Drosophila melanogaster: one gene and its partner. The protein of the gene in region 2 interacts with the protein of the main gene of each other region in a pairwise test. Each region holds a gene or a part of one and is shown on either strand. Other genes may lie near its edges. The genes, in order: CG13031 and Rox8.

The links.
Region 1: the proteins of Rox8 (region 2) and CG13031 interact in a two-hybrid assay, tested with the Drosophila melanogaster proteins (one large-scale study listed by BioGRID).

Annotation. Positions count from the first base shown.
Region 1 is NT_037436.4:16,723,000-16,725,963, reverse strand, and holds CG13031 (uncharacterized protein), read right to left. Parts: upstream 1,104-2,964; 5' UTR 1,074-1,103; coding exon 1,062-1,073; exon of another isoform or gene 1,007-1,061; coding exon 650-1,006; 3' UTR 589-649; downstream 1-588. Other genes in the region: CG13026 (uncharacterized protein), read left to right, coding at 1-257; Dab (disabled), read right to left, coding at 2,623-2,964.
Region 2 is NT_033777.3:24,042,252-24,050,232, reverse strand, and holds Rox8 (Rox8), read left to right. Parts: upstream 1-1,967; 5' UTR 1,968-2,120; exon of another isoform or gene 2,121-2,443; intron 2,444-2,511; exon of another isoform or gene 2,512-2,734; intron 2,735-2,864; exon of another isoform or gene 2,865-3,045; intron 3,046-3,220; exon of another isoform or gene 3,221-3,295; intron 3,296-3,741; 5' UTR 3,742-4,567; coding exon 4,568-4,795; intron 4,796-4,966; coding exon 4,967-5,875; intron 5,876-5,942; coding exon 5,943-6,036; intron 6,037-6,087; coding exon 6,088-6,269; 3' UTR 6,270-7,177; downstream 7,178-7,981. Other genes in the region: Atg6 (Autophagy-related 6), read left to right, coding at 1-814, 869-974; CG5986 (uncharacterized protein), read right to left, coding at 1,145-1,747, 1,806-1,901.

The DNA of each region.
Region 1 (2,964 bases), on a different chromosome or scaffold from region 2:
TGATTCCGGCAGTGCCCGCTACTGTTCCTCGCCTGGTTCCCGTGGCCACCAGCCATCAGTTTGTCACTCGAAACTGGAATCGAGTTTTCGTGCCCCCCGCCACGGTGGCCACTTATCCCAACACCTATGTTAAGTACAGCGGTGGCTATCCGGCGTATCCCGCCTACAATTACCCATACGCCACCACCTATCCGTACACCTATCCCTACTACTATCCCACTTATAACGTTGGATATGGTTACAAGGGTGTCTGGTGATCTGCAACGGACATAGCCTACCTTTAATACATTGTGATAACACTCGATACCAAATGATATTATATTATGATATATATGACAAATTTAATCAAAAACTTATTTCATATTAGATTCATACAACAAATTGTATAAAATATATATATATATATATAGAGAGACAATCTCGATATTATAAATAAATGTTTCTTTGTCCATTTATTGAACATGCTCATTCAATTCGATTATTTGTTATTAAGGAATATCACACCTGTATACACTGTACTTGGCACGTCGCCAAAAAAGCAACAGTTTAGCCATATACCGACTTAATAGTGACACAATGATTGTGGTTAACCAACTTGTACTTTTATTTTTGAATAACACGACAAAATAAGGAACAATTTCAATGCTTTCTAAAAGAAAAATGGTGCTGCCACTGCAGGAGCAAGGAAACGAGTTGGCTGAATGAGTCGGGCGCCAGTTGCAGGGAATGGAGCAGTAGCCAGGATGCGGGCAGGAGCAGTCGGAGCAAAGGCGGCATTAAACTGGTTAAAGTAGTCCAAGCGCTGGCTGCTGGATACGGCCAGGGGAGATGCACCCAAAGGATTAACCAAAGGAGCGCCAGCAAAGGGACCAGCAGCATAGGCGCCAGCAAAAGGTCCACCTGATCCTGGATAGAGTCCGAAAGTAGAGGCCGAAGGAAACAGTGCTGGATCCACAGCTGGCTTGGCTGCCACACTGGCCAGCAGTCCCAGGGATACGAGAATCAACTGAAAACAGAAAAGAGCCAAATCTTACAAAATCCTTGCCAAAGAATTTGCTTACCATTTGCTGCATTTCAAAAGAGATTGCTGCTGCCACAAGATCCAAAAACTGAATATGCATTGGCTTGGATCGACTCAAAGGTTTTATAGTTATTGTGGGCGTAGAAGACCACAGCTGGCCTGGCTAATTGGCGCTCCAAATTGTCAAACACTTGGCTCCAAAAGCGGCCTAAATGGCAGGTGCTGGCAGAGCAGCCAACCGCCACCCATTTGCATACGATCCGATATGGCTATATATGTTGGCTATGTATGTTGCCACACAAAATTCAGTAATCAAAAGTTTGGAAACGACTTGACTTGTCCAAATAAATGAAACCATTTGTAATATGCTTCTCACAGTTTAATTAATAGAACAAAATGACGGGACAAAAACCAATTTTTACATCCCCTACACAAAGGGACTTGACAATAACTATCGTATTCGTATAATTGCATTACATATATATGTATAAGAATAGGTTCGTATGTATAATTATCGTATATTATTTAGCTGTTTGGGAGTTACTTGATCGTTCAGTTTCAGTTGCTTGTTCAGTTACGTATAAATATATAGTTATGTATAATATATAGTCAAATCATAAAAACACATTGCCGTGGAATTAAACTAATTAGTCGTTAGTTAACTATGTAATCAAACAATCATACAAATTATGCTTGTAGTATGCAAAAACATAAACGTACCCTAGGAATATATGTGGTATTGTATGCTAGCACAATGGTTGCACTTTGGATAATTCGATATATATGGAATAGACGACATCTAGCATAGGCAATTAATTAGTTGCTTTCGATTTGCGGATCGATTGATGATTCGGGGCGGGGGCGTGAGTATTTCGTTATTTGACGAGTGGGGAGTAGCTTTAACAAACACTTGTTCTCGTTTAAGTTTTCTCTATGGCTTGCTTGGAATCGACTGCTGGATAAATCTATATATACAATCTGGCTTTGGAATAGGATCAGAGCTGTGTGATGTTTTGGCTTGGGCAGAACTGGGAGTAAGAGGGAACTCTACAGTCCTCGTTGGAGTGTTACGATATTGCAAGTTTAAATGGCGATTGAGTTGACTAGATATATGTGGCGAATTAAATATCGTATGGTTTCTTTATTTCTCTCTCTTCTCTAAGACTGCTCCTCATCTTCCCAATCCGCCAATCCTACCACAGCACATCATAATCGTACACATGCTCCGAGGACGCAATAATCAGACACTTTAGAAAGTCATCTAGGGTGCGCTTGAGTTTCCACTTTTTCGGCTTCCTCAGCAGCTGCTGCAGCGGCTTCGACTTGACCTTTGGCTCATGCCAGGGACTTGTAGATGTGGCGATGGATTTCTTCATCGGCTGATTCACTTGCTCCTGCAACTGCTGGACTGGCAAGTTGCAGTAAACATGGCGATTCAAGCTCTGTCGCAGGCTGTGCAGTCGCTGCTGCTGATAGTAGTGATTGAGATTGGCCAGAAATGAAAAGTCCGTGTCGTTGACCACATCGATCTCCGCATAGTTGTGGTTATCGATGTCCGGATCCGGTCGCTGCCCCGATGCCTTGGCAAACAGTTGGTCAAATCACATGTTTTCATCGAACTTTGCAAAGTTCGCGTCCTCGCTCCACTGAAATTTGCCGCCCTCAGTGTCATCATTGTGCTGATCCATGGCCTGTTCCTGGTCTGGTGATTTAAAGAACTCGTCATCCTCGAAGGGATCCTCCTGCTTTTTGGCAAATATGTTTACCGACTCGGATTTCTTGATGAGCTCCTGGCGCTGCTGCAGCTTGCTGGTTCGCATATTTTGCTTCCTGCTCATAGCACCAGATCCTCCGGCACCTGCTGTGGCAGAACCCGCTTGTTCCTTTTCAAAATCGAATGATGCCTTGGCGAAGTCATCCTCAAAGGCAGCATCATCGAATTG
Region 2 (7,981 bases):
ACTCCATGCTGGAAATCATGGACAGGGAACTGCGCATCGCTGAGGACGAGTGGGATGTGTACAAGGCTTATTTGGATGAACTAGAGCAACAGCGTGTAGCACCCAACGTTGAGGCCCTGGACAAGGAGCTCGACGAACTAAAGCGCAGCGAGCAACAGCTTCTGTCGGAGCTAAAAGAGCTCAAAAAGGAGGAACAATCGCTAAATGATGCCATTGCCGAGGAGGAACAGGAGCGAGAGGAGCTGCACGAGCAGGAGGAAAGCTACTGGCGCGAGTATACCAAGCACAGGCGTGAGCTAATGCTCACCGAGGATGACAAACGAAGTCTGGAGTGTCAGATCGCCTACTCGAAACAGCAGCTGGACAAACTGCGCGACACCAACATATTCAACATCACCTTTCACATCTGGCATGCCGGGCATTTCGGTACCATTAATAACTTTAGGCTGGGTCGATTGCCCTCTGTATCCGTGGACTGGTCAGAGATCAACGCCGCTTGGGGCCAGACGGTGCTTCTGCTCTCTGCGCTTGCTCGTAAGATAGGGCTCACCTTCGAGCGGTATCGTGTAGTACCCTTTGGAAATCATTCGTATGTTGAGGTGCTCGGCGAGAATCGAGAGCTCCCGCTTTATGGCAGCGGCGGATTTAAGTTTTTCTGGGACACCAAGTTTGATGCTGCCATGGTAGCTTTTCTCGACTGTCTTACCCAGTTCCAGAAGGAGGTCGAGAAGCGCGACACCGAGTTCCTGCTGCCCTACAAGATGGAGAAGGGCAAGATCATCGATCCCTCCACGGGAAATTCCTATTCTATTAAGTAGGTTTAGAAATGGTAAAGATTTTACCTATAATAATGATGGTTTCCTTACAGAATCCAGTTTAACTCGGAGGAGCAGTGGACCAAGGCACTGAAATTCATGCTAACCAACCTGAAATGGGGATTGGCCTGGGTTTCTTCACAGTTTGTGTCACCGTGATTTTTCTTTCTCTTTTAAATGTATATTTATAAATTACTTAATTATCCCCATAGTATTAAATCTAAATCTTTCAAATTTTAAATGAGAAGTATTTATATTGTTATGTTTATTTCAGGTAAATTTTGAAATAAGAACGTCTTTGGTACATACTTAATTCAAAAGTTATTTATCTAGTTTTGTATAGCTTTTTTCTGTGTTTTTGGCTCCTCCTCGCTGTCGTCAGAGTCAGAGTCGGATCCAGAGATGTCATCGTCTATCCAGAGTGTGCCCTTTTTCTTCTTTTTTGCCTTGGTCTTGTCTACGGCGGGGGATTTCCTCTTTGTGCCACTGGAAGTTGCTTCCTCGACGCCTTTCTCCTTGTTCTCCTCGGCCTGCTTGAGTCCCTCCTCGAAGGCGTCGTTTACCTTCTCGGTCAGATTAGCCCTGGCTTCCTCGTACTTATCGTCCTTAAAGTCGTGCTTGGGCACGGCCAGCAGTTTCTCGATTTTTCGCTTTTTACGCTCCTCGGCCTCCCGTTCCCGTTCGCCCTGCTTCTCCAGCCAGGCGCGCACCCGCTTCTCCTCGTTGATATCCCGCAAACGGCGACCACTTAGATCGCGGCAAGCCTCGCGATTGGTTGTCTTTTCAATTTGCGCACCAATGGCTCGAAGCATGGAACCAAATCCTCCTTTGCCACCGAGCTGGCGGAGAACGCAGTGAACATCTCCAGATGAAATTTCTCCCTCCAAGCGCTTGCCATTGCTGACTAAGTAGTATTCCCCTGGTTGCAGGTTCTGTAAAAAAAAGGGCCACATTGCAAAATCTTATGAAAATTATACATAACATACTCACTGTTTTCTCCGCAATCCGACTGTAAAGCTCATCACATTTAACGTGATCTCCACAAGAAATTATATATTTACTGTTTATAAAAATATTTATGCCCATTTCGACGACCTTTTCGATAACGATTGTTATTTCTAGTCTGCTTTGTGCTGCATTTGCGCCCGCGGTGAGTGTGTTAGAGAGAGAAAGCGGTGATGCAAGCGTTATCGCCTGCCCTAGGGTTGCCCCCTTTTCGATAACGTTGCTTCAAATAACTTAAAGTCGCGAATTAATGTGTGATCCTTGTCATATTATCGCTGAATTTCCATTAAATACCCCTACGTAAGTAATTTTATAAAAAAATCTTGTCAAGTCCATACTCTTTATTGCATTTCCCATCTTGCCGCCATTGCGTTTTTATTTCTCAGCAAGTTGGCAGCCCTGGCTCTCGCACACAAAATCTCATTAATTAGTTCGCATTTTAGACGACGAAGGTAAAATTTTAGCGACGCGTTCAACGTACATTTGCAGCCCCTAACAACTTTGAAAGTTTCGCAAAATTAATACAAACCGGTAGCGGCTAAACTTGACCGTCAAATGAAGTGTGCGAACAGAGTGCAGAGCAAGTAAAATGCGGTAAATTTACAAACGCAGCCACGTCACAGAGAGCGCATTAAAGAAAAAAGAAGAGAGTGCGAATTTTGACAGCGAAATTCGAGTCTGAACAATGGACATTAAGCGAATGCACTATAGTGCGGCGGGGACGATAATTGTTAAGCCCAGTTTTCGGCACCGCTGTCAGGCAGCAGGGTCGGGGCGGAGGCGTGGCGGTTGTTGGTGGCGGGGGAGCGGCATTAAAAGATGGCAGCACAAAAGCGAACAAGATACATACATATACGTACATATAGCGGCAAGCTGAAAAGGCAAATGAAAAGTCCCGCATTCAAATCGTCTTGGTATTGGTATATTGGCATTAGTTTAAATACACTCAATAGCCAAAAGCGGAAAAAAGCAAAAGCAAAAGAAAAGTGGAGACTCATGTGAGGAAAACGCAAACAAAAAGACCAGCGCAAGACGCCTCTCTCTGCGTGTGTGTGTGTGCGTGTCGGTGCTAATGTGTCAGTGTGTGTGCGAAAAAGAGACGAAGAAAATAAGCAGCAAATGAGCAACCAAAACCACCCCGCCATTCCCTTTTCGCCGTCTCTTCAGTTCTGTGACTTTGACTGACATTTTCTAGCGCCGCCGCCGCAGAAATAATCAAAATCAAGTTTAGTTCTATGCAAATTAAAATTTGATTTCGCAAAGTGTGAAGAAGAAGAACACGAATCTAATGCAACCGTGTGTGTCACCCGCCCGCCGGTTTCGCAAAATTTCCCACATCTTTCTCTTCCTTTTCCCTGTTTTTCTTTCTCCTCATTTTGTTATCGACGGTCATTCATCTTCTAGTCGATTTTCGTCGTTCTCCTTTCGCCCTCGTCTCGCTGGCGTGCCTGAGTGTGCATTTCTGTGTGCTGTGCGTGAGTGGCCCAAAAAAAAATTTGTAAATGTGAATACAGAAATATATTAATTATAAACTAAATCATTTTGCAAGGCCCGCAAATTTGTTGCGAATGAATGGCTATTGTCAATTGTTGGCCATTCGCTTTGTTATAAAGACAGGCAGTCTCTTTCCCCTGTCCTTTCCCACCCGCCTCTCTCGCTCCGAAGATAGCTCACTCACTCTCCCCGTGTTTTTCGTGTGCGCCAGTGTGTGTGAGCGTGCGTCTGTGTGTGCGTGTCCCTGCACTGCTTTGCCGCCTTCTTTGTTCCCATCATGCGAAAAGGGGGCGGGGCGGGGTAGTCGATTTATATCCATATCATTTGCGCCTGTTTTAAGGCCCACCGATCATGTGCCATTAGACCTTGTCCCACTCTTCCGGTTATCAGCGCAAAACTAACCCAAATTTACCTCTCTCTTTTACAGCAGCAACGATTCCAGGGGTCAGCTTCGAAACCCGAAAAGTACACTCAGCCTGCGAACTTTCACGCTGTTTAACTTAGCTAACTAATTTTTGTACAAGAGCAAGAATAAGTAGTCGCAACCAAGTATTCATATGTACATTTATACAATCCTGTATATTGGAACGGACAACTATTTATAATCACAACAACAACATCCGGATCATCGAAGAAGGATCGAGCAATTCTGAAATACCAAGTAGTGTACACCAAGAAACCCCGAATCCAAATCCCAGGCCCCCAGGAAAGGAAGTCAACCGATTATAGACATATATATTAGGCGACTAATCGTATATTCCAAAACACTCCATTAGCGTTTAGTTAGGACAGATATATTTATACGTATACATATAGATGTTTAACGAAATTTTCAATTAGGCGCCAGATTAGGAACAAAATAAAGCAATAAACGACGAACCTCAGCGTTAAGCAAATAGATCAACCTACCTAGATTGAGCATATAAAGTTTATATAATCCAAAAAAATCAAGCCAAGCCGAGAGTAAGTCGAAAGTAGTAGAAAATCAAAGTATTCAAATCTCTCTTGGAGTTTCCTGTTAGCAGCTAGCACCAATTAGATTGCCGCAAATACACCTGTTTAATTAGCAGACACTTTAGATTTTGTACGTAGCTAGGAACTTAATCTGCAAATTTTTGATACATCCCCTTCCGATTAATGCGGCCAGGTGCAGTAGTTGCAATTCCGGTTTTAGTGTAGAGTCAGTAGATTGTCGCTGTAGCCTAGTGTATAATCAGATCAAAAAAGCCACAGTCCCGTGACATCCGACAGCCATGGACGAGTCGCAACCGAAGACCCTATACGTGGGCAACCTGGATAGCTCAGTGTCCGAGGACCTGCTAATTGCCCTCTTCAGCACCATGGGGCCCGTCAAAAGCTGCAAAATCATTCGGGAACCGGGCAACGATCCATATGCCTTCATCGAATATTCCAACTACCAGGCAGCCACAACAGCTCTGACCGCCATGAATAAACGCCTATTCCTCGAAAAGGAAATCAAGGTAAGCTGATTAGCTTCTCTTAAGTTATCAAGTGGACAGCGGTCATTTTCATTCATTTTGTTCGAAACTACACTCTTGCAACACACACATTCCCCACGACCAAGCCCTCATGTTATTTTAATTATGTAGAACTTAATTGATTATTACCTATTAAACGAATGCTCTTCGCAGGTCAACTGGGCCACCAGTCCCGGCAATCAGCCGAAGACAGACATCAGTTCGCACCACCACATATTCGTGGGCGACCTCAGTCCCGAGATTGAGACAGAAACACTGCGCGAGGCTTTCGCCCCATTCGGAGAGATCTCCAACTGTCGCATTGTGCGCGACCCTCACACCATGAAGTCAAAGGGTTACGCCTTCGTGTCGTTTGTGAAAAAGGCGGAGGCAGAGAACGCCATCCAGGCGATGAACGGCCAGTGGATTGGCTCGCGCTCGATACGCACCAACTGGTCCACGCGCAAGCTGCCACCACCACGCGAGCCTTCCAAGGGCGGAGGCCAGGGAGGCGGAATGGGTGGCGGACCGGGCAATGGGTCCGGTGTAAAGGGAAGTCAACGCCACACCTTCGAGGAAGTGTATAACCAGTCGAGCCCCACCAACACCACCGTATACTGTGGCGGATTCCCGCCGAATGTCATCAGTGACGACCTGATGCACAAGCACTTCGTCCAGTTTGGTCCCATCCAGGACGTGCGGGTCTTCAAGGACAAGGGCTTCTCGTTCATCAAGTTTGTTACCAAGGAGGCAGCCGCCCACGCCATCGAGCACACGCACAACAGCGAGGTACATGGAAACCTGGTAAAGTGCTTCTGGGGCAAAGAGAACGGAGGCGATAACTCGGCCAATAACCTCAATGCCGCCGCTGCCGCGGCAGCAGCCTCTGCCAATGTTGCCGCCGTTGCGGCAGCCAATGCTGCGGTTGCCGCTGGAGCGGGTATGCCCGGTCAGATGATGACGCAGCAACAGATCGCCGCCGCAACAGGAGCGGCGATACCCGGCCAAATGATGACACCCCAGCAGATTGCGGCGCAGTATCCATACGCGTACCAGCAGATGGGCTACTGGTATCCACCTGCGGTAAGTGTTGTATTCTTTAAATACGCAGTGACCTAAAGATTGACCCTAACTTTGTGCTTTTCTGCAGACTTATCCCACAACCCAGATGCAGACGCAATACATGCAGCAGGGCTACTATCCCTACGCCTACCCTACCAGTGCTCAGCAAGCGGGAGGAGTCCGTAAGTTTACTTTTCTCAGTTGCTGAATAATCGTGACCTTGGCTTAAACAGCTTGCATACAATTTTCAGCGGCTGGATACCGCATGGTGCCGCCGAATGTAGCATGGGGCGTGCCCGGAACTGTGGTGCCCGGTGTGACGGCTGCCGCAGCATCCGCGGCCGCTGCAGCGAACGGATCACTTGCCCCCCAAATGATGTACAGTGCTGCGATGCCACAATACCAGACCCAATGAGCTGAGATGTGACGCCAGCTTCGACGCCGTTTGCAGCATCCGGGAAGTCGCCCCCAGCCGCAGCCACAACCACCTCTGCTGCATCAGCTTCCGCACCTGCAGCAGTTGCAAGCGCATTACGCACGTTTAGGTTACGTACAATACCGAGTAGTAGCAAAGTCGGAGCCGCTCCTGGCCATGCCGTTGACCAGCGGCAGCAGCCACATTGACGGTGGCAATGTATCTGGAGATTATTAAGGATGCGCGAGTGTCCACTTTGAAGTTGTGGCTACGGTTGCGGCTGACTGCGGTGGAAGGAAGCGGAATCGGGTGTGGTATATAGCCCCCCAAAGTCGAACGTTAAGGCGGTGCGTGGAGCTCAACTTCAAGTGATCCACGCCGGCGACAACTGAAAGAACATCAATTGAAAAGCTCCGGGCGATGGGCGGGTAGCTGTAACAATCTAATCCAATCTAAGTACGTGTTAAATTAATTTAATGATTTCTAATTTAAGCAGATATAGGCGTATAAACGAAACGGAAATAAAATAAACCGAATGAGAAATTCAACAAAAACAAACAAATAAAAACTGAAAAGAGAAAATGCTAATTACGCGCGACAGAGTTAAAACAAAAAGAAAACAATCGAAACAAAAACGTGACAAAGCAAATTGTAATTGTAACTATGTGGAACATGTGTCAACGAAAACTGAAGACGGAAAGAGGGTAGTTTCAGTGGGATGAAAGGATAGCCGCAAGCAAGCAAGCCGAATGCAAAAACAAGAGGAAAAACAAATTTAGTCACTAAGAGAATGTAAATTCGAGCATACATATTGTATATTTCCAATGTGGAAAACGAAATGCGATATAAATATGTAAAATGTAAAATAAAGAAGCAAAAAAATATATAAAACAAGTGAGAAAACGAAGGGACGCTGGTTTTTATATTGAGGTAATGAATTAGGATGTGGAATTATTATTTCAAACTTTAATTTATATCATTGATGATAGAAGTGGTTACTACTACTACAAATCTGGTGGAGGATTCAGCGGAGTCTAAAATATAGTTAAAAAGTAATTAACTTTTACAATTGTGCTAAAAAGTTTTCTTAAGGTATAACATACATACATGAATGAATTTTATAGCTTTAATATTCTCTAGTGAGACGCAGTTTTTCTGCGAAACTAGTTTTCATGAATGCTTAATTCTTCTGCTTACTTTCTCTTAATTTAAATGCACCTGGTGATGTCAGCCGTTGCTCAATTCTCAATACACTACCAATGGTTTCCAATAGCTTAGAATTTTGTTGATGATTAAGAATGCAATTGATGTTTCTTGAAATCGATTTTATTTAGCGTATTCTATAGATTTCTTTATATATATAGTTTTATATGCATGTAGTTTTTTTTTGTATCTGTGTTTAGTAACTAGTCAAAGAACTCAAATTCCGGGTGGGCGAGCTGCGTTGAAGCTGGTTCAATGTGTCGCGATAAGCGACGGGCATGTGCGCGGGTGAAGATGTATCTGATCGATCTGATAACACCAGATCCATACGCACCTGCTAGGTACAACATTTTTGGGTGTGTTACTAATAATATAGGTGAATCGGAGACGATTGTATTTATGGCTGTAGGTACATAGATTGAAACAAAGGAACTAAACTAGACTAACCATACGGACAGTGATAACTATTAAAACTTAAATACGATTCTGCGCTGGTAAATGTATCTTTG